3 linked regions of the Styela clava genome follow. The protein of the gene in region 1 purifies or fractionates together with the protein of each later gene. This does not show direct contact. Links are inferred from orthologs where the notes say so. Each region holds a gene or a part of one and is shown in the gene's direction. Other genes may lie near its edges. The genes, in order: DNA ligase 3-like, aprataxin-like and bifunctional polynucleotide phosphatase/kinase-like.

Region 1 (8,034 bases):
CATATAAAAAATACAGAAGCTGTGGAAAATATTTTGCATTACAGAAAAATTAGTTCACATATTAAATATTTTACATTACAAAAAAAAATGGTGCTCCAGAAGTATGTGCACCAATATGAAGGTAACTAATTTTGTTCGCCTACTTTATATCAAGTTGTGTAAATGGACTAAATTCTATCGGTAGGGGGATATTCACTTGTGTAACACAGACAATTCCCGAACTTTTAATAGAACAAAAATAAGGAGAATCGTAACCTAACCTGGTACACATACTACGAGTACCGAAAAAACAGCCCACATAGTAAAAGCAGTTATGGAAATACTTTACATTACAGAAAAATTAATTCACATAGTAAATAGCAGACGAAGGAAATATTTTGCATTGCAGAAAAAATAGCTCACATAGTTAATAGCAGTCATGAAATATTTCTCACTATTGATTACAAAAGTATAATTGCATCCGAATCAACAGTATCTATACGACTATATAAAGAATCGTTAAAATTAAATAATATGCAAGAATCATATTGATAACAAAATGTATTCTGATCAATTTTAATATAACTAAAACAAAATCCTCATAAATATTTTTAGTAAATTCACAATACATGAAAATATGTGAAACAAACTCAGGTTCTCCATTACATAATACACACATTTCATTCCCTGCTTTTCTTCCAATTTCTGGCTTTTGTTTTCAATGGCAAGATATCCCAGAGTAATTTATAGTTAAAATCAGTATTTTTAATAAGTAAACGAATAGCTCACAGAACCATGTGATTCATATGGAGCACAGAGCTATGATTGAGAGAGGCCGTGGTTCGCCATATATTTAGGCCTTCTTTTCGGCTTTCCTCTCCCCTTGGATAAATATGTAATTCCCATGTTATATCAATTAATAAATACATAAATAACCGCACTCCTCTCGGCGACTGGTTCATATTCTGTTCTGTAGATACGTTTCCTGTCTAATAGATATGCATTCCCAATATGCTCATAGTTGTATGCTTTCAGCGTACCATACTTCGAAACCCAAAATCAAATATGTATTGAAGAATTAAAGACCTCAAGTCAAGTTAATACGGCCAATTTCGCACCCGACTGAGCTGAAGCAAGGGATTTTGGCAGCGAGCAATGCGTTTTCTTAATATGCAACGAACCATTTAGCTGGACGACGTAAAAATGCAGGGAACAATGCCACAATGAGCAAATCTTTGCAAGTTTCCACTCATTGTATATATGCTCATTGCTTATAGTAAAATCATTTCTAAAATTCAGGGTAGGTCTTAATTTCCGGGAAACACGATAGTGGACCCATGGATCGTTTTGTTTTGTTAAAAATTTCCCTCTTATCGTTATTACCAAATGATTTAAAATTTCATTGGGTAAAGATTATATTTTTCGCTAGAAGGCTATTACTTTTATTTGGTCCTAAATCTGATATTTCATCTAAAATGTATTGCATAATTTTTAATTCCGGGAACACGTTTTTAGGACATCGTGATGGCTGTCTTCCACGTTTTTATGACATCGCAACCAGTAGTCTACTGTGTCACAGAACTTGAAATATATAAGATAAGATTTTATTTCGATTCATTCGATAAAACAAAATAAACATATATACACAAAAGATTAAGACGAATAATCTGGAAAGTGAACAAAACCCAATAAAATAAGTTTAAAACGTATAAAACGCGTTCACTTACTAAAGAAGAAAGAAAACAAGTCATAAACACAAACAAATAAACATGAATATTGACGGCGGTCATTACCCACGCGTGTCACTTGGTAATCAGGTTGCGTGGAATTTTTTCAAAAAACAAAACATTGAATTAAATATCCGCTGTGCGTGGGATGCGGCATGTAAACAAACAACCCGAAAAATCCTAGAATGAGGTGCGAATGCATGTTTCCGTTCCATGCTTAAACATATATCTAGTAAAATCCACTAAAACGTTAACATACCGATGTAAAAATTGAATGTAAATTTTCAAATATCAGTTCGTGCAGTTTAACTTTTGTATATCCGGTCTAGGGATGCCACTTTCGGATTTACGAATCGGATCGATTCGAATCGCATCTTTTCCGAATCGATTCGAATCAGATTTACGCGATTCGGAAAAAGAGAGCGATTTAGCGAAAAAAAAACATTGAACGTTTGTTAAATCGTCGTTTTCGGCGGCTTTAAATCTGCCAGAGTGTGTTTATGCGGCGCTCCAAATAACGCCAAATTACGGGACCGAAAAAAAAACATTGAACGTGTGTTAATCGTTGTTTTCGGCGGTGTTAAAACTACCGAATGCGTTTATGCAGCACTCCAAATACCACCAAATTACGGGACCGAAAGAATAACATTGAATATTTGTTAATCGTTGTTTTCGGTGGCGTTTAAACTGCCGAATGCGTTTATGCGGCACTCCAAATAGCAACAAATTACGGGACGTAAATAAATGAAAATGAATTTTTCGTGATTGACTTTTTTACTTGTCTGCCGTCATTTGTTTCAAGTTCGACACAACACACTCTTTTACGCATCACTCGAGATGATGTGTGGCGTAATTACCAGCAAACTGCGAGTTCAGTTTTCCACTAAATAGCCGAAGTTCCCATTATGCGCGAATTCAAATGGATCGTATACCTGGAAATTCGTGACAATTTTGATGAAAATTTTCAACAGCACACCTGCGCTGCCACTAAGTTATTGTACGCCCTGGCATGATTGGATAAAGAATCGGCTACCGACGTCTAGATAATGTTTAATTTTGATTGAAATTTAATTTAAACTTTGTTCTGAGAGCAATATTTCGCGTACATTTGAAGAGAACTATTGCTGAATGAGTTCATCGGCCGGCAATGTTAATTTACAATCATGTATCTCATCCTAAAATATATTTTTATTTTGTTTGCGTTTGTCAGGCTTCCACTCGAGTGGCGGTAAACGAAATCAGGGGGACATAATGTAATAGTACATACACGTCTTTTTCCAGCTGTTACCAAAAAAAAATAGTATTTACTTTTAATTTTGTTAGCGCGATACAAGCGGATAAAACATTTCGGATTATTTCGAGCAAATGTCATAACGGACAGGTGGGAGTAAATAATACTTGAGGAATGGCAACTTGTGCACTGTTTTACATCAACACGTGGCAGATTTCATACCAGACCGAGCATACGGTGCGAATGTCGTCTTACTTTAGCCCCAGCGACCATGTTTGATCGAGATAAAGCGTCAACCAATTATCGCTCGTCAGCGCGGCGTCCATTATGCACATTTGGACTTTCTGAATTACGAAATTAAACGTAGTCCACATTAATAATGAAGCCCGAGTTAGCCAATAACGCTGTTTGCCACAAATAATACTGTCTCTAATATTTATGGAAATTTTTGTTCGCAATCGTAGTCGGATGAACGATTGTTTTTATCGAAATTAATTTAATTTAATCGTGGTTAATTTTATCGTCTTCAATCATATTCTTGTAAGCATTTCCCATTTATAGTAATTCAGATGCAATTAGAATGTTTTTGTCGTATTACTCTATGCTGCTAGCATAAATATAAAATATTGTACTAAGATTTTGAAGATAAAGAATCGGTAATAAGGCCGTCCCTGATTCAATATAACAAGAAGGGAAATACCACGGTCACATATACTGGTGTGGGACAAGGGAAAGCAGTGATGTTACTGTGTTTACGACATAACAGTACAACTGTTCCCTGCTTATTTTCTTATATGAATTCCATCAAATTGCCTCAGCCCTGATACAAGTATAACACAATAACTCAGTATTGTAAGACTCACAGATAAGTTGCAACAGCAAGTTTTTCATCAATGCATTTATTAGTGATATCTATGACCTACATCTTTTTATCATGATGAAAATAAGTGTGGCTTGTTCACTGAAAAACCCTCATCACCCTTGCTATATAGCCTATTCCATTTTCAAATTTTTTTCTTCTAGATTTGAGCTTTTTTGTGAGTTTGGCCAAACATACGCATGTAATAAAAAAAAAAAAGCTTAATGGAATCAGATTCGGAAAGATTCGATTCGAAAAGTTTTGATTCGAGATTCGATTCGAAAAAAAATGTATCCAGAAGTGGCAACCCTAATCCGGTCACATATTTGAGCAGAGCATAATTTCGTCCGAACTTATTTTCATAATATATTTAAAAATCTTCCATTTTGCACCCATGTTGCACATTTTTTCAGTCCATCATTCAAAAATCTGCTATTTCTGTTATTTGTTTATTGATGTCACTTAGTCTGAGATTCACTTCTCGAATGCATATCTTCGGCTCGAGGTAGCCACGTCCGCATGCGACGGCGGTCGGTACCAAAGTGAATATATATATATTCAACTACAGTGACCTCACATTTCTAAGCCAAAAGCCTCTAGTGCTCCACACGCCCTCGTGTTTATTCCTTCTATAATTTGGACTTATTTTAATCAATTTAAATAATTTACCGTTTTCCCAGGGTATTATTTCAATTTTCTTCGGGGAAATAACACGAGATTTTCGGATAAACAAATTATTAAAACCGATATCCATTTACTTATAAATACCACGCTTTTTTCTCTCATGCGGTTTAGATTATTCTTTTAAATTTTAAAACGTGTAGGAGAGATTTCTTGCTTATTGACGAGGCCAAAATAAAATTCCGCTATCGACTAGGTCCTATTGTAAGGAAAAGCTTACATAGAGGTCATTTTTAAAATCCAGGCTAGGTCTTATTTTTTGGGAAGCACGGTAGTATTCATTTCAAAATGAATCCAAGACCGAGTCATCAGCCATATTTCAACAAGTAGATGTAAGGAAGGCATAGTACACTTTGGTGGCGCAACATCGTGGCGCAATATTTTCGGCGTCACGTGTTCAAAACAAACCAACAAACGCAAACGTATAAAAGCCATTGACCTCAATGATGATAGCTGATTCGCTTCTTCCAGTTTTCAGCGTTGCTGTTTAGTCAATGCGTGCATTCAAAGGTAGGTGGCGTTGCTTTGTAAATTGCTAGTTTGCAATGCTGCAACACTTTAATACACTTTATCTCCTGATCTTATACACTTCCACACTTGTCTATATCGTTTTATGAATCCCGTCTCACTCATCACACGCACAGCCGCTATTCACTACATTGTTTGTAAGTAATTTCATGTAATTTGATTATGAAGTTAGACGCCCGAATAATGACCAATCGTTTATGTTCATATTTGTTTGTTGTGATTTGGTTTCTTTCCTCCTCATTGAGTGAACTCGTCTAATACGTTATGAACTTATTTCAAGTTTTGTGGGCCTCATGCTGGTTTCTGACAGTTAAAAGATAAGGTAAATTTGCAAAAATAACTGAATGAGGGATGTTTTTGTATCTAAAGTAATGAGCTGATGCTACGTCCAAACGTGTGTACAGGCACAGCCAAATTTCTGCACAGACAAATTGCAGGATTTTGATTAAAAAATGACTTAATCTCTGTTATGGTACCGATAGTTGTAACCGGGTATCGGTAATAGCTAAGAAAAGTCCTTCGTCCAGATACCTATTCCTGATTTTACTATATTCAAATTTATTATTGGTACCGTAGTTCGCTATTTCAGAATTCTACATCTCAGTTAAAATTGACTTCGTGGACCAAAATTTCCATTCTGCGTTTTTATATCATATTGTTAATATTTTCAAATTTTCTATTTCCTGATTTCAGATCACATATTTGGCAAAGATTCAATTTTCTGACTGTTCCCAACATCATGTCTGATTCTACAAGGTAACTTTCAAATGCATTCATCTTACAGTCCTACTTTGTTGCGATTTATCGAGCCCGTTCACTCTGAATGTCGGTGCATTTGCAGGGCTATTTTGGCATAGTGTGCTAATTTTTGCCGTGGAGCACATATCTCATAGTGTTCATCTTATACCATTGTACCATTAAATCCTATTACTGTATTAAGCATCATTCTCCATACTAGTTCACCAACGAAAAATAAAACTAATAAATGTCTCTTTGGTGGGCTCGGTCTTTCTATATGAAAGTACAGAAATAGTTCTTGCTTGAACGGGCCACTTGGATGTTGGAAAAAATTGTCCACTAGCAGCTATTTGAACTAACTCAACGAACCCAGCAATTATCTGGGTCTCCAGAAGTCTGAGTATGTGCCCATAAGTGCTTAGAGGGGCTTTATTATGTGACGCAGTGATGTAATTTTCGATAGCATAGTCAGGTGGGGGTTAGGAATGACGTATTCAAAAATTGTTGAGCCAGGAGCCAGCCGAAGTACGCAAGTACTTCGAGAGACCCAATTATCCTACATGTAGTTACCCCCATCAACTCGCACAATTCAATTGTGATAACCCCTATAGTAATTAATGACAAATATGTACCTAATGCATAGCAAAATTGCCCAATGTGCCATAAGGTTTGCTATCAGTAAAGACTATTTTTCAGCGTTATTAATTCCCTGCACAGCAATTGATTATGTCAGTTTCAACTCTTCACCTATTCATAATATATTTAACAGATTCACATGTGATTATGCGAAACGAAAAGCGAATTGCAAAAAGTGCAAACAGCCAATAGACAAAGGAGTTGCCAGAATCGCCAAGGTTACTCCTAATTTTTTCAACGATGGGGACGGCGAAATGAAAATGTATCATCATATAAACTGCATGTTTGAGGTTTGTGATACATTAATGTCTTTTCTACTTCTATATAAATCATTGAACCGTGAGTAGTCGGAATCGTCTCATTTCACCTGGCATGTGCATATGCTGCTATTTATAGCATACTTGTTTTATGTTACGGTAGAAGACAAATAGTATTGAAGTGGAATCACCAGTTGGTTCATTACAATGTAATTTTTATGTTTTTAGTGCACTTTAAATTATTTATGTTATTAGTGTTTCAAGAATTAAGTTAAATTAATGAGAAGAAAAGCTATGACTCGAGTCATTATTTTTCTAAAACCATGAAATGACACGTTTATCTGCATTAGTTTCTACTCAAAGTTCATATCATTTGTAAGTAAACACATATACGACATTAATTTGACAATGAATTCTACGTTATACACTCAATCCAAGTAGTACTGGTACTTGATCAAACTTTCGTACCCATCCAAATTCAAAACACAGTCTATACCGGGCCTATTTAGCTCTTGAGTGCTGTGATTCAAATCATTTGGTCATTGAAACACTTTTGTTCATAAGCGCACTCATCTTGGTTATAATTTAATTCATACCCCCTGTGTCCTACATGTCAATATCTGATACTTATGACTTTTACTACCCTAGTTTCCACTTTTTTAATGTAGTCAATTCCCATTCCACAGAATATGCAACTGTCATCAAATATATGAATGTTTCAAACTCAATTTACGGAAACTTCAACATTGCTTTAATTTCAACTGAATAACTTGATATTCTTTTGTGTGAGCTTTGATACATATTTCACTATAGTCAAAAGTGTATTTTCCCATTGCTTAGGTATTCTCTCGAGCACGAGCAACCACCAAGAAAATTGAAGATCCGAGTGACTTGGAGGGTTTCGCAGACATGGAAGATGATGAGAAAAATCAAATAAAGAAATTGATTGCAGGTAATGACTGATAACAGAATTTTTGTTATATGGTCTTAAGATACGGAAATGTATTGGTACATGAATGTTATAAATCTGACATGGGCAAACCACGGCCTGCGGTTCAAATCAGGCTCTTCGGGTGATTTGGAAAAAAGGGGGAAATTTCTCCTCCGGAATAAAGCCGGACTGTGGAAAGTGACTTAGACCAATATATTTCTATCTCTCCCCCTTTGTGAGATGGGACCGAATCCGAAGAATTCTGGCACATTTATTTTTTAGAAAATTTTGTTTGGTTTATCATACCGAATCTATTACACTTTTAGTTAGGATGGTTGGCATGGGGATAGAATCAAAGATTTGTGTCGCATATGACGCCAACATACTAAGCATTTTAACCACACCATTATTTTCATTTACCTACTTCTCACAAGAATATTATCCCCACATAAACATATTGTGACTTT
Region 2 (8,047 bases), on another chromosome or scaffold:
TTGAAAAGTATGATTCGAGTTCTTGGATCCATGACTTGTTCAATAGTTGCTCGATCCGATTTGTCTTTTACTCGATTTCTGAAAATTATTGGTTGCAGTAAATAAACTTGAAAATTGGTATTGGTGAAAATTGGTGATTCAACATAACATTTTGATATTGATTATCCAATATTTGCTAAAAGAAAAAAATCACATACACTGTTATTAAGAATCAAACCAAGTACCACATGACGCCTTACTTCCCAAAAACAATTTTTTTTATTACCTACCATGGCGCATAAAACAAATGATAGAAGCACATTAAATAAAGGTATTTTTATAGAAAAAAGGGCCACATTGTAGTCTTTGAAAGGGGGTCATGATTCATGAAAGCAAAGTTATGTTACAGCATCACCATGGTATTCAATAGTTTTCAACAAAACTCACTATTTCACTGAAAAATTAGTGAATTAATATTAATTAATAATATTAGTTAATAATATTAATTAATGGAATTCCTGAAAATTGATCATTTTGAAAGAACATTAAATTTAAATCTTCCAGGCACCTCCCAGTTCTTTGATTTAAAAGGAATAAGATATGAGAATGAGAGAAAGTTTTTGAATAAATTTACTTGTTTTCAACCATTCTTTTATCCATTTGTCGAACTTGTGCGAGATTATGTTGCGGAATACTAGGATGCTCATATGCATCAAGATGAATCTTGTCAGAAAATTTTGATAACATTTTATCCACAGGCTAAAAAACAACAAGAAGTTTATACTTTGCTGAGCACTCTATTTTATTTCAACTATTGGTTCTAAAGAGGGATGGCCAAAATTCGAAAATTCACTATCCTGAATACATTCTGATATAATATTTTCGAATTTGGAATATTGACGTTAATTGGGTCCTCTACTTTCGAAGTTAATGGATATTCAAATGAGTTTAAATTTGAAAATACAGAAGGGTTAAGATAAACAGTGATTTTAGTGGTTCTACGTTTTTTGTTGTAGAATTCAAAAAATTCAATGTCTTTTTGGTCATACTATAATATTTCAATTGCTCAAAATGATGGGTTTTCAGATAAAACTAACTAGGCCTATAATATTCCCAAAATAAAATTATTATTCTCTAAAAATAAAATTTTAAATATCATTTATTTCAAATTAATTGGAATATTCAATTCGACTTGGACATCGTCAGATTTAAACCAATATAGTTAGAGAAATAACTGAAATTAATAAGCCTGTCCCTCAGACATTCAGTGAATCGCCATTCAAATGATCTCTTCCTGAAGCTATACATGTGCTTGTGGCAAAATAATAAATGATCACATCCTACTTGATAAGATTGGTTGGAGGAATACTTGGCGCCGTTTCCTCTGCAATTTTCTGTATATATTTCATCCATTTCCATATAGTTATCATCACTCCAATTGTCATCATCATCTGCTATGTTTGTATTTGAATCGATACATCCTTCTTGAATAGGATCTTAAAATAAAGCATTACATAAATAGTTAATTGTATAAGAGACGCAATAAAATAATGGGCTTCATACATGGTGACACACCGATATGGTAATTTTCAAACGCGGTTAAAAGACACACATTGAAAATACACAAAAATCCAACAATCTCCAAAATGACATATCTTGACTGCTGATAGACAAACGACAAAATGTTGTTTATGAGAAAGTTCTATACATTACTCAACTGATCTACACAAGAATGATGTAGAGTCGGCTCAAATTGAAATAGTATGTCAAAGAGAGGATAGGATTTACATAATCATCCTGGATTAATCATATGGCAAACCACGGCCGCTCAGCCAGCTACAGGTCCATGTCAGGTAGGTATGGTATTAGTTAGCCAGTCATATTTGTTTCAGATGCATGGACAAAAACATAATGTAAAACAATGTTTTTCAAAGTGCAGTATTATTACTAGTATTATGACAAAAATTGATAAGACTATTCTAGCTATTGCTCATTTTAATTTGATTATAACACATTGTACTCTTGTATGTGAATCAACTTGCTGATTGAAATGTTAAAATTTCTGAATTTGGGGTAGATTACAAAACAGTCATTGAAGAATGTGAATGAAACAGCGAAGGAAAAAAAAACAATAATAGAGTACCGTAATAACAGAAAGATGATGATGAGTAAAAATAGAAATACTGAAATAATAATTGGCGCAGCGGTGTGGCTCAACGGGCTAAGCGTTAGGAATACGCTCGCCACCGCACCTCTAATTACTCTGCGTGGGTTCGCAGGTTCGAATCCCATGCAGGGATGGTTATGTGCGAGAGGATTGCTGGACTCCTCGCCGTCGTTGGGTGGTTCACGTAACCGCTGGTCGGTTACGGCTTCCTCCACCACCAAGTCCATGCTTCCGAAAAAAATAAAATAAAATACATTAAAACTAATCCCATACCCGACTTGGAATGCTAACCGGACGAGAGGCCGTGGTTCGCCATGTGGATAAGCCGTCTTATCGGCTTTCCTCTCCCCCGGGATAAATATGTAAATCCTATCCTATCCTAATAAAAGTTACAATGAAAAATATAGAAAAATTCACTTTACTAGCTTTACGTGATACCAGCGACTTAGATTATGATACTTATTTATTATTATGACTGAATGCAAAAAAGATGAATGAACTTACTAGTTTTTGTCATCATTTGCAAATATTCCTCCGCCTGGTCCAAATCATCAAACTGCCCCTCCATACCGTAATACTGTACTAAAGGGTTGGCCAACAACAACAAGGATTCTTTTCTAAAACAATTTGACGCTGCCTAACTGAATATCAGATGTGTAGAATGAAAACGATCAGAATACAATATAATAGCCTATATACAAATATTGAAATAGCCTGCTGCACCAGCGTTTTTCAGTCGCGTGTTTTCTTTTGCACATGTTGTGCAATATTTAATTCTCTGAAACACCAGACTTTTACTCATACGCAAGATGACAGTAAAGAATCGTGAATTACAAATCACGATTTTTGGTCACTGATGACAAGCGCGCAGTACGAAGTGAAATCTTTTCATCATTTGTTTGTCTCGTGCAGCTAATTTTTGGTTTGGTCTTGGAGGATGGTGTGAATATGTTTTGTTGATATTGATAGCATGATGTTTAAGTTTATTGTGTAATAAAGTATTTTTTGACAAATCGAGAAAGAGAGAGATTTATTTTTGTAGACCCGACACTCACTTGGCCTTGGGTACGTACCAGCTTACAGACTTCGGTTACCTACATCACATTCATACATCTGTACAACACCAAACATAGATATGTAAAAATTTTGTACATTTGGAGTAGGCTTATAACAGTATGTTGCACCACAAAGGTGAAAAAGTCTCTTGTTCAAAAGTGTTTCTGGGAGTTTCGCGCAGCTGCAAATTAAAAAAAAAAGAAATTGGGATCAATTACTATTTACGCAAAATCTATACCGTAGCTAGTCAGTGTTCATCATGCTTTCTCACTGCATCTGGAAACAAATGATTATATTTATTTCAAATAGTTTTCAAGTCTTAATTTACATGAAAATCTAACTTCTGAACTTGCCAACTTATGGCGTTCAAAAACTTGATCAGATTGAAAAATACATTGCTCACTGGATGTCTTCATCAAGTGAATAATACTTGCCTAACAAACACATACAATGGTTTACTGGTGAATCAAAGCCAAGCTGTATTAACCACCTTCTTAACTCAGCCTTCTAAGGACTTCCACTCATCTGCAATTGATTTCAAATGGGAAGGCAGATATCGAAACTTTTATCATGCTGATTTATACATGAAAACAGGAAAAATGTTGGACATAATAGCCAAGAAAAAGAAAAAATCAAGAATGGATGGAAAGCCACAAATAAAAGGCGTTGTTTTAAGACTTTTAATTAAAAAGCCGAAAAAACCAAACAGTGCGAATAGAAAATGTTGCAAAGTACGGTTAAGTACCGGAAAAGAAATCATTGCTTATATACCCGGCGAAGGACATAATTTACAAGAAAATAACGTTGTTCTCATCGAAGGAAAAGGACGTAAGGATTTAGTCGGAGTTCACCATAAAGTTATTAGAGGAGCACTTGATTGTGCTCATGTTGTTAAGAAAGAACAAGACTAATTTTTGCTATAAAATACTCGCAAATACTAAAGTATGACAGACAATTTGAAACAATTGAGCTCCTCACAAAATATGAAAATAAAAATTACCGTAGGATTATATGAGAGCGTTAGATAGCTTGGAATTTATATTTTGTGACAATAAATAATACTTAACAATGGCCTCAAAATGTTTGTAATGGTTTAAATTCTGACATATTTATGAATCTTTCATACTGTAGTAAAGAAATGTTTTACTTAAAAAAATCTCTCGTAAAAGAACAGCTAGCCTATTTAACTCTTAAGGATTTTGTCGTTCAACGTATGTGATGTTCCATTTTCACAAGGCTTTACTAGTCTTAAAGTATATGTTAATAAACTTCTAATGCCGCCAATGTTTTATTCAACTCACAAAGTTTTTTTGTGAGTTGAACAAACTTTGTCTAAATTTTTCAATATAAAGATTTAATAATATAAAACATAATTCCTGCCATTTCACACAAAATCTTTTCATATAGAGCCGTGCAAAAATTCATCACTTTTTCAATTGAATTTTACCGAATAACTTCCTTACCTAAGTTGTGATTGATGCTGTTTTGTTCTATCTATTCTATATGGTTCAAAATGCTCTTTACAATGTCAAAATCTAAAATACAAAGATATGAAATTTGTTGTTTTGAGATTTACTATTTGCAAATGCATTTCAAGTTGGAACTTCTTATTTTTTTTAATAGGAATTACCACATTGCTTTATCTCTATCTTTCTCAATGTATTTTCAATGTTGCAATTCAACACATGCTCCGATACTTCTACCAGACGGTTCGCCAGTCATCGTTGGGAGATCAGCAGAGACTAAAATACCTGATAAATTGTGTTCAAGAAATCAGTTGGAATTGGTTGCAAATTACAATCAAAAGTAGGTAGGAATGTGTTATATTTTTGCTGTTATAGATACTGATATATTTATGTTTTGTGAAATTATTATTGACGTTATTTGAATATACTTTCTTTTGTGTATAAAGAGACTTTTTTATTTGCCAATGTTTATGAAATCTGTATCAGGCCATACAGGTATTTTTGAGGTACCTATAGATTTATATTTGGAATATATGCTTATTTGAAAAATGGTCATTTAGACGGAAACATTTGATTCTAACTTGTTTCAAATATAGATTGTCCGCTATTGTGTTTTCTTGCCCTGTCAAATTGGTTTGTAAAAATATTTCTGTTGAAAATGTGTCAAGTATATGATCAATGTTTATTGAGACTTTATAAGACGTTTTTAAAATATGTTTAATTATTTAAAATGTTGTCTTGAAAACCACTTTTCTAGAGTGATTTTATTGGCATCACTAAATTTGTTATTTTTGAACATTAGATATGTTATGGTCAAGCAACTTGGCAGTAATGCATCTCAGATAGAAGGGATTGATATCGGACATAGAAAAACTGACAGACTTCATGCAGGACAAACGTTACACGTCGTTGATATGAAATATCCTCACAAGATTGCTATATGTATCCCTAATTCAGGTTTCATTTTCTATCATATAGTGAATTTATTATTATTAGAGAGAAATGCACTATTATAAGGACATGAAGGTTTTACCAGTAGCATACGTTGTTCAATAAACTAGATTGCTGAAAATATGGGGTGAGGATGGAATTTTTTTAAATTTAGAAAAATGTTGGGTAAAAGACAGTACCTTGATGAGCGCAAAAAAAGTGTTTACGCAAATAGTAGTAGAATTTTAAATAACTAACGCTGTTTAGGAAATCATAATATTCGATTAATGTAGGTTTTTGATATTGATTTATCCAGAGTTTACCGTGATAATGACGAAAAACAATTCTTGTCCCAAAAACAGTGACCTGTACTCATATCCCAATGTAAATTTATTTCTCCAATAATTTCAAAGAAACCACATCGAAACTCTTATGTTCTATAATATTTATTCAGGAACTACATCTTCCAATACCAAGAAAACAAAACTACCTCAGGAGGAAAACACATTCAGCAAACGACAAAAAATGACTGAAAAAGTAGCGAAAAATATTTCCGATGAAGAAAACGAAACAAATTCAAATAATAAAAATAATTCAGCACAAAAACCTTCCTATCATTGGAGTCAAGGTTTGAAAGGATCAATGGATGATCCTAGTTTGAGAGTTTCCAAAGATGATAAAGTTGTTGTCATCAAAGATAAATATCCAAAGGTATGTTGATGCTAATATTATATTGCGAACTAAAGTCTGAATTCATAATTTGCATATGGTAAAAATCCATTGCAGATTTCTATTCAATACTCTGTCACACTGTGTACAAAATACACAGGGTACTGGAGGCTGCTCCACAAAACTGAAAATTAGCATAAACGCAGAAAACACAGCTAATCTATGAAAAATTGATGAGAAATATATTACAACTTATATAAGCAAGAAAACTTTGTCTGTATACCAATTTTCAAAAGAATTTGCTCAAAGTGAAGTCTAACACACTCGCTCTCGAGATAAAAGTGAATCATCTTTCTGCTGAAACCCCCTCTGAATCATCTTCTCATCGTTGTTAGGAAATTTCCTTGCAGAAATTTTCAACCATGAATTATTTGAACTCTGACAAAATTTAACATATTAACCCAGTTGAATGAGGAGTTTTGAGAGGAATTTATGGGTGTGTTTTTGAGTGGTGGAATTTTACAGACACTCTCTCATCATAGCTCATATTGAAACTTATATATATAATTCGACTTATAATTAAAACATTGTCTCTAAACCAAGTTTAATCCTAAATATTCAATACATCATGACTTGATTTTGTGTCTATGATGTCATTTTCAGGTTTTCACTACTGTTTCATACATTTTCTAATATTTAATTAATCACAATGCTGTATCCATATCGTCATGGTAACTTGTATCATTACCCATTGATGCCGTGTCACTGACGTTTTTATATTGTGAGCTGCCCATTCTTTCGTTCTGCAAGGACCCTGAAATTCGAATGGTTTGTCAATTATACATTGCAATACAGAAGAATAAAAGAATAAATAAATGTTGATATATAAGTTTCCAACCTTTTTTTTCAAGCGACCCAAATTTTCAAAAAAATAGATTTAGTAAAATCTCGCGACTCAAGTATAATATGTTCAAATACAGACAGACTAGTATTTATATGTTTAATTTTTGTATCTTTTATTAACATTTTTATTGTATATACTCACCTATTTCTAATTCTATTCCAATTTGATCAATATTGTCTGAGTCAAAAACTGATCCACATTCACTGGAAGCATTCGATGTATTCTTTTCATTAGCAATATTTTCCAAAATGTTTTCATCTTCATTGGGACTTCTGTTTGTATTTGGAAAACCATCTTCGCAATCTTCTGTGCTTTTGTTCTCTTGGTTCAGAGGAGACATTTCTTGCATTTCAACATCTTCCGTCTCTTTTGTGATTTCTGATTCAAGCCTGCTTCCTCTTTTTCTGTATAAATAATAAATGAGATGCATAATGGCTATATTCACATGAAAATTTTAGTATCTAGAACAGACATGTGCAGATTACGACTCGCGGGTCAAATCCGGCCAACTGGGTAATTCAATCTGGCCCGCCTGATGCTGCCACAACTTAACTGGAACCAAATTTTGATGATTTAGTTAAAAATAGGTCAAGGGATTTGTTAAGATTGCGGATAAATTTTGGCACGTGGTTCATTGTTTTCCACTGTTGCTTTTGTAACACTGTGAACATTGTTCATAAAATGTAACTCTTTACGTCATACTTACATGGCCCGCCAGTCTCGGTGGGCAAAATTTTTGTTCCCTGATCTAAAAATCGTGCCCACCTCGATCTAGAATGTCCGTTTTTCCGCCAATAGTAACATTTTAGTCTTTTCTCTTCATTTACAAAGCATAATGACACTATGCTTTATTTTTCTGATTCAAATATTGTCTAT
Region 3 (8,394 bases), on another chromosome or scaffold:
ATATATTGCCTGTACTTTCAGAAATTCATCATTAGAAAATATGACACTTCATGAAAAACTGTATTGACCGTCTATAAATTAGCGGCAAGGGAAGCATTCATGCGGCTGGGAAATACCACAATAGATTTCAGACTCTGGGTTAAAACAATTTTGACTTCGACTCCCCAGTTTGTAAAAGTTTGACTAGAATAATAAAAACTTTTGTGCATGCATGGCTTCTGTCATAGCCTGATTGTTGAAAAGGCTTAGTAAACTTTTTGTGTTTCCATAGGGAGTAAAATTTAAAATTGACCTTTATTACTAACCCAATAGTTTTCACTGCTCTATATAGATAATAAAAAATTATCCTTCAGGCTGAATTTAAATTACTAACAAATTTTTCGTGCTTTATGGGATGATTCTTGAAGTTTTATTAAGTATATGATGAATTTCTGGATTGTATTAAAATTTTCATGTAAATGAGGTGAAGTATTCCACTTATAATTAAAAAATTGAATGACTTTTTTTCTTGCTATTATATCAGTTTCTATGGCCTATTCCAATACCTTACATTGCTTTTAAGAATAAACATTCCCTCTTAACTGAAATTTATGCTTGTTTTGCTTAAAAAATTGGTTGTTCTTAGTCTAGTTGTGTTGAATTAGCTAGATGTCGATATGTTCAATGATTCTCATAATCACTTATTCAATCCTGTGTTGATTTTTTTGTTGCTTTAATAACCCATATCTAATTACTAATACAACAGGGTAAAGCTATGATTATTTTAACATCTCGTACTAAATAATTTTAATACAAAGATGGTTCATATTTTCGGTTTCCATCTGATTTATCTGTAGTTAAATTGAAACCATGTATGCTAATATTATTTGCTTGCAACTGTTACATTCTTTTTGATTTTGATGCGTTAACTGTCGCTAAAACTACCATTAGATTTCATTGCTGAAAATATTTCAATAAAAACTGAAAAGGGCAATAAGTTTGTGCAATTGTATGGATCGTGCAGGTTCGGTAGTATGGCAAATTACAGTGATCCTGTAACCAATCAGTGTCCGTAAATAGTTAACCAGCTTCTTGTGTCAAATGCATGGAGTTGATGGCAGGAGAAGCTGTGAGCTCACACATATTTATTCCTATGGGATTCGAACCCACTCAAGGTAGTCAGAGGTGTGGTGTGTGGTGACATGCATATTCCTAAGCTTCGCACAATGCGATAGCCTGACTATACTTTCTGCAACATTATTAGTTCTTGGATGTGTAAGTGAATGCAAAAATTCTAGAATACACCCTCACAGATAAAAGCAGTGCATGGCAACTTCAGGAACACGGAGATGTCACAAGAAGATTGTGACCCATGCGCTTTGTATGCTAAGATTGAAAAAATAGTCAAATGAGAACATGTTCTTGTGGTCCAGGATAACATAACAGAACAAATTAAGGGCAACTCTTGACCTATCATAGTTTATTTGGCCCGTTTGAGCCAGTTGAAAAGGGTATTCGGCGCTTTCACACGAATCTCCATTATCCTCCAATTTTGAGTGCACTTTGAATGTGAAGCATTGTTTATGTTAGGGACTATTTGTACACAATTGACTGGTTTTTATAAGGGGTCCCAACACTTTCGGTGTGAACAGTCGGTTTCAAGTCACAGTTCTAGAGAATCATGCACCAGAGGAACAGGTTTGGGCTTGAATCTTTAACAATTAATGCCATGCTCATCCCGCTATATATTTCAAATCAACTATTTTGGCTAGAATGTACACAACTCTACCGCATTTGTTTTCTCATCTGTTCTGGCATCACATGCCCGCCCAATCATTTAATAGAAAAAGTTTATTCATTGTATTTTTGAAATTTAAAGACGAATTTTACCTTTGTAGCAAACGGGTTCTACTACAAGTATTCACAATAACATGCATAATGAAAGTCTTTATAACTTATAGATTTCGTTCAATGGAGCAGTTATATGGTTGAATCATCGTTCATCAACATTGCGTACCTATTTGATATGGGATTCCTAGCATATATTTCCTAAAAATTTGGTGAAACATACCATAATAAATGTCAATATACAAGAGCTTATAGGTGTAGAGCTTGCAACAAAGATTTGGTTTGTTAATGAAAAAAGCTGGTAAAAATAGTAACACAAAATCTTTAGCAACAAGCACACAACCCTGTCCGATTCCATAGGCTTTGTCAGTTCTTATTAGTGAGAGGTCCTCATGGATTCATGTTGGTCGTTTTGATGACCAAAAGATGTTTCATTCACCTTGTGCATGTATCGATGTATGATTGCATTCAAGTATTGCACAATTTGATGGAATAGATTACAATTGAGTCCATCGATGACCACATTGTGGGTTTGTGCAAACAAAATAAAGTCTCATGCCTTCCTCTGCTCTTGTTGATTGAGATTGGAAGAATACAGCTTCTTTATGCTGACATCTGAAAAATATAAAATGGAAAAGGATAGAAGCAAAGTGAAAGAATAATCAGGTCTCTCATCAACTTTAGTTGCCTAGCCATAACTATCACAAGAGTATTATCTTTCTACTGTTTTTTTCTTCTGATGACAACTTTAGACCATAAACTTGAACCTAATAAAGCATTATCCGCTTACAAACAAATTTGTATAAATATTTTTTTGTGAGCTGGTTCGAAACTAAAATCTTTCACGGCTTACAAAACACCACAAATCTTCTGCAATTAAATTTGGTCTTGACTCATTTATTTAGCAATGATAGCTTCGAGCTTGTTTTGATACAAGCAGATGCTCCCTCCCACATTTTAATACCACAAGCATTGGAAAATCAGACAATTGAATTTCTTTTCCATAAAACACCTGGCAGAAAATAGGTTGGTAGGCAGTAACAAACTGTGATACAGAATTATTGTTAGATTGTACAACTTATCGCATCTACGTATAGATACGTACCATTTCTGCATATCTGATAATAAATCCTAATTATTAGATGAACAGCAGATCTGCAAGATATGCTATGACATTCATAAAGATGTATAAAAGCCTACCTTATGATCGATGGATCTAATCCAATCAAAAACACGGTAATTATAAGAAAAAAAATTTGAAATATACATTGTAACTATAAACTAACTTGGGACATGAATGATCCTTTGTTCGTGGCAAAGTTGGATCTTGTGCTACATCAGCAATGATTTGTGTTAATTCATCAACTTCATGGACAATCTTATTTACATAAATACATGCATTGTCAGCTTCCATTTGAAAGTCACAGTTACGACACTGAAAGAGAACATAAGGCTCAGTTAAATATAAAACTTGAACTAAACTTCTTCAAAAATCATTAACAACTGATATGATTTCTTGATTTTGTGGGATATTAAACAAACAATTTCAGGTGCACATTGTAAAACCAGAATGTTTACTCAGTGATTCCCAACCCCAGGACCGTGGACTCGTACATAAAAGCCTTGTTGAGCCTTGAACCTTGTCGAGGTTGCGAAGATATCAGGAAAAAAAAGCAATAAGCACAAAGCTTAGGGGTTTGAAAAAACATTAACTTCTAAATGGTATTTATCGTATGTAATAATCTCAAATAATAAACAAACTTGGTAAAATCAACGTTTGTATAATTTTCATGTCTTGAGTCGGCTGCGATTCATTTCATTTCAAAAATGGTTCATGCCCAAAAAAGTTTGGGAATGTGCAAGTGCAACTTCATCTACTGGGTTAAATAATAATATTCATTTCAAGTAAGGAGTACACGGACATAGGTAGTTCGAAAAGAATTATCCTATATCTATATTCTATTCATTAGCTTATCTCACTGAGTAGAGTAGAATTCTGTTCTGCTTGTCTTCTTTTGGATAGAGCATGTTGTTGCTAAAAAGTTGTAATATTAATTTAGTAACAATTTAATGAGACGCACTAATATATGTCTGTATTCATCATTTGAAAAGCATAGAATTATATCTCCTGATCTCAGAAATTGCAAATGACAAAGCCAACCACCGTCAGATGTGGTTCATTTGAGTGTATTTGCATATGTCTGTATGTAAAAATTTTTTATCCACTTCAAAGCAGGTGGCGTATCAAAACGAATTTTGCATATAGTATTCCTAATCCCCACCTGAATATGCCATCCAAAAATTACGTCATTAGGAAGTCATCATCAGAGCTTGCCAAAGCATAACTACGATCGCCCGAAATGGCATCTGCGCCTCAGATAACAAACTTGCTAGCGCCGACGAACTCTCTCATATCGTGATCATTGCGACGAGAAAAATGGATTGCTCGATTTCGAGTGATTGTCTGCACGTTTTGGACGACCATCCTCATACTTTGGTGGGCCTTATTACGCCACTGTGAATTCGCAAGGACGTGATTTTCTGGTGACGTAGTCAGGTGGGGGTTAGAAATGACATATGCAAAAATTGTTGAGCCAGGCCAACTAGAAGTGCATGTAGTACTAAACTATTCCAGACCCAATATGCCAACGCTTACACACAACCCAACTAACAGACTAAACTGTAGGAACTGGGAAAAGATTTAGACATTGTAAACTCACCATTCTTGACAAAATTTGATTCCAACAAAACCAGGTCCTTTTTGGTTAACGTGCTCTTGCATTTTGATGACGAGCTGCACAATTATGCTCCAGAAATACAGAAATATGATTTGTAGCGAACAGACAATGAACACACAAGACAGGCGGACAAAACCGAACAATATGTAAATTGTGAGGCGCTAAAGAGCAGTACCGGCACATCATACACAGTAGGGGAATTCCCGTTGTCAACGGAATTGACCTATGTCGTTATGATTTACCGGGAAAAGATTCGCATTTATTACTAGTACAGTATAAGTTTATTTCGACTCCAAAATCAGCACGACAGAATGAGATTTGTAATATTTTTTTTTTTACATTGTTACTCGAACACCTTACGAAAGATGGCGCAATGATCATTGTGATGTCCGGACGTTGACATTTCAGCATTTGCTGATTCAGGTGCTGGCCGGTTAGAGAAAATTTCATACTGGATTGTCAACATTGGATTTCATATGTATATTTAATGGTTTGTATAACTGTTTTATTTTTTCTATAAATAATTCGCACTCAATAGGGTTGTTAAACGTGTCATCGCCTTTCCTCGGGGCTCCCTAAAACAGTAATATTTTTTTAGACACCATTGTGGGCACTATGATTTTTTTTTCAGTAGTTTATTAAGATTTCGGTCTCTTGAATAAACATGTGCATTTCTATATCGCATGGAACAATAATATATGGTTGTATAAGTAGGATCAAACTTCCCAACTTTATGAGGCAGACTATAATCAATTTGCCAATGGTAAAATATGGCAACCCTGAGCAGAAAATCAAGCACTCTTGAAATTTCAGGCACTTTGAAAAAACATAATTTCCATCATTTCTGCTTTCTTTATTTTTGATTTTTCTGCTTTAAAGTAATCATTAACATTAGGACATATCTAGGTATTTACAAAGTGCCTGAAGTTTCACGAGTGCCTCTTTTTGTATTGAGTGTTGCCATATTTTACTATTGAAAAATTAATTATACCTTATTAAATTGAAAAATTGCATTTTTTTAATGTACAATTTCATTCAAGGTCTAATAAAACTTAACCCCAATGAACTACGAAAAAAAAAAGAAAAAAAAAATTAATGTGCCTGAAAAAGTGCCTGAACTCTTATGTTTATAAAAAGGAATTGAATTTTTTGAGGGCTCGTTAACCCTTTCAATGCGATTTTTATTTTTTATTAAATAATCGTATTTGCTACGCTGATTTTATGCATTTGTACCCCCACAACTAATCGATCGACTAATGAAAAACTAATGATCCTCTGCTGCCCACTGACGACTCGTTAGAAAGCTTATTTAAAGAGCTTGCAGTTGGCGATTAAAAAAAAAAGTTTTTTAAAATGTGGTGGTCTGAGTCACAAACCGGATAGAAAAAGGGCATTTTTTTTTCTTGGGAGTTGAAACTTCAAACCGTGATAAAAAAATAGAAATATTAGCTAAACCCTTTACTGTTACCGCTTCGTGGTTGGCAAACAATAGCATAATATTGCTGTAGCAATTTCGTGATCTAACTCAAAATCCTTTGGTAGATGGAAGGGATAATATGTCTTCTATTACCACCCAAAAAACACAGAAATTTGCATAAATTTCAAAATCACTCCCTCGTTCCGCCGCAAATAAAATTCCCGTTGTAAACAAAAGCGAGATTTATCGTCGCTTATGTTAATCTCGAAGAAGACTTCTTATCAATAAACTAAAACCCGGATAAACTAGACCAACAATTTGCGACCGATTGCTAAATAAAACTATGGGTAACTTGAAGTACCCGCCGTGATCTAGCGAGTTTTGTCGTTGGTACGTATACGTGCCCACCGCCTGGAAAGGGTTAACAGGCTTAAATTTAAAAAATATTTTTTCACTACAATAATAATGACATAATATGTTTCAATTGAGCTCTTGATGGAATGCAATAATACGAGTTAAACATAAAAAAAACATAACTTTTGTTGACCTTATAGGCTATGAACAAATAATTGTAATTGATTGCGTGCCTCATCCTAATAAGAATTTTCTTTAGGGGTCGGTCGATCTTGTTAACCTTGCAGTCTTACCCGCCCCTTTGCGATTATATTTCATGATTACTGTTTATTCTTTTTACTGCAATGTGTACATTGATGATAAATTCGGAAATAAATTATTATCACTCTCTCATTATAGGGTCATAGATAATTCTGTATAATGCTTCAATTGAGGTGCTGTAATGATAGACACGAACCTATTCCATTACCAAATGGTGTTCCTGTCATACTAGGAAGAAGTCCACAAACTAAAATCATTGAGAAAATTTGTTCAAGAAAGCAAGTTGAATTAACAGCAAACTATGAAAAAGAAAGCGTCACTTTGAAACATCTTGGAACTAACCCGTCTATGATTGGTCAACAAGAGATTGCAAAAGGACACGAGAAGAAGTTAAAAGTTGGTGATATTTTCTATTTTGTTGTTCAACAATATCCACATGAAATTATTAAAACGCAAAAAACAACAGCTGAAAAACGAACAATCGACTCATATTTTGGGCCTAGTTCTTCAGAATCCAAAACGGAAACACCAATACCAAAAAAAGCCAAAATGGTAAATGAAGATGAGGTATCGGATGATCAGAGTGATGATGAAAATAAAGTTGCGGAAAAGCTCAAATTTTTACAAAGCAAAAGTCTATCCATTGTGAAAACAGAAAAATCAAAAGATGGTGGTAGAGAGAAAAATGTATTTAGAGGATGGATAAAATCTGACTATCCAGTTGGTTGGGAAGAAAAAGAAGGCTTATTAATTTATCATTCTCCGCAGTTGTATAATTCATCAAAAATAGCAGCATTTGATATGGATGGTACAATAATAACAACAGCATCGGGTAGGACATTTGCAAAAGATCATAATGATTGGAAGATACTTTACGCCGAAGTACCAGGAAAATTGAAAAAGCTTCAAAATGACCAATATAAAATAGTGATAATAACCAACCAACTGGGGATTGGGAAAGGTAAACTTCAACCAAAGGATTTCAAAACCAAAGTCGAAAACATTTTGGGAAAGCTTGGTATTAAAGCTCAGGTGATAGCAATTACGAAAAAGGGTCCGTCTCGAAAACCTAACATTGGAACATGGACTTGGCTGGCAAAACAAGGTAATGGGGGAATACCGATTGATATGTCTCATAGTTATTATGTCGGAGATGCAGCTGGCCGCCCAAAAGATTGGGCTCCAAAAAAGAAAAAAGATTTTTCGTGTACTGATAGATTATTTGCTATGAATTTGGAAATTGATTTCAAAACTCCCGAGGAATATTTTCTTTCACAAAAGCCTGTTAAATTCAACATGCCTGAATTTGATCCAAAAAGTGTCATCGACAACAAAGTTTTAATAAAAAACATGGATGAGCTGATCAGCAAAAAACAAGAAGTTGTGATCATGGTTGGGTATCCAGCCAGCGGAAAGTCTACCGTTTCTAAAGATTATTTGGAAGCAAATGGATATACCCTCGTAAATCGAGACACAATGAAAACATGGCAAAAATGTGTGGCGGCATGTACACGTTTTCTCAGCGAAGGAAAAAGTGTGGTCGTGGACAACACAAATGCAGACCCAGAGTCAAGAAAAAGGTATATAGATTGTGCTAAAGCAAGAGGCTGCGATTGCAGATGCTTTGCTATGCAAGTGACAATGGAACATGCAAGACATAATAATAAATTTCGAGAACTCTCAGGATCGGATCATGATAAAGTACCAGACATGGTATTTTATCAATATAGAAAAGCTTACAAAGAACCAAGCATGAAAGAGGGATTTTCAAGCATTGTAAAAGTAAACTTTGTTCCA

What was found.
Region 2: the proteins of DNA ligase 3-like (region 1) and aprataxin-like purify together in Homo sapiens (affinity purification with mass spectrometry; 3 studies listed by BioGRID and IntAct, with this or other methods). This does not show direct contact. The link is inferred for Styela clava from reciprocal best matches to the Homo sapiens genes LIG3 and APTX.
Region 3: the proteins of DNA ligase 3-like (region 1) and bifunctional polynucleotide phosphatase/kinase-like purify together in Homo sapiens (co-immunoprecipitation; 5 studies listed by BioGRID and IntAct, with this or other methods). This does not show direct contact. The link is inferred for Styela clava from reciprocal best matches to the Homo sapiens genes LIG3 and PNKP.

What each region holds. Positions count from the first base shown.
Region 1 is NC_135256.1:5,969,726-5,977,759, forward strand, and holds the start of DNA ligase 3-like, read left to right. Parts: upstream 1-4,909; 5' UTR 4,910-4,987; intron 4,988-5,698; 5' UTR 5,699-5,744; coding exon 5,745-5,761; intron 5,762-6,512; coding exon 6,513-6,669; intron 6,670-7,476; coding exon 7,477-7,588; intron 7,589-8,034. UniProt on the Homo sapiens protein: Isoform 3 functions as a heterodimer with DNA-repair protein XRCC1 in the nucleus and can correct defective DNA strand-break repair and sister chromatid exchange following treatment with ionizing radiation and alkylating agents.
Region 2 is NC_135264.1:11,771,009-11,779,055, reverse strand, and holds the start of aprataxin-like, read left to right. Parts: upstream 1-4,679; coding exon 4,680-5,008; intron 5,009-5,470; coding exon 5,471-5,625; intron 5,626-6,052; coding exon 6,053-6,309; intron 6,310-6,315; exon of another isoform or gene 6,316-6,971; coding exon of another isoform or gene 6,972-7,081; intron 7,082-7,312; coding exon of another isoform or gene 7,313-7,575; intron 7,576-8,047. Other genes in the region: serine/threonine-protein kinase RIO1-like, read right to left, coding at 1-78, 614-738, 1,324-1,475, 2,651-2,714; small ribosomal subunit protein uS12-like, read left to right, coding at 3,562-4,113; uncharacterized protein LOC120333828, read right to left, coding at 6,972-7,081, 7,313-7,575. UniProt on the Homo sapiens protein: DNA-binding protein involved in single-strand DNA break repair, double-strand DNA break repair and base excision repair.
Region 3 is NC_135258.1:17,042,771-17,051,164, forward strand, and holds the start of bifunctional polynucleotide phosphatase/kinase-like, read left to right. Parts: upstream 1-4,854; 5' UTR 4,855-5,055; intron 5,056-6,735; 5' UTR 6,736-6,756; coding exon 6,757-8,394. Other genes in the region: DNA-directed RNA polymerase II subunit RPB9-like, read right to left, coding at 2,325-2,442, 3,114-3,262, 3,808-3,862, 4,548-4,609. UniProt on the Homo sapiens protein: Plays a key role in the repair of DNA damage, functioning as part of both the non-homologous end-joining (NHEJ) and base excision repair (BER) pathways.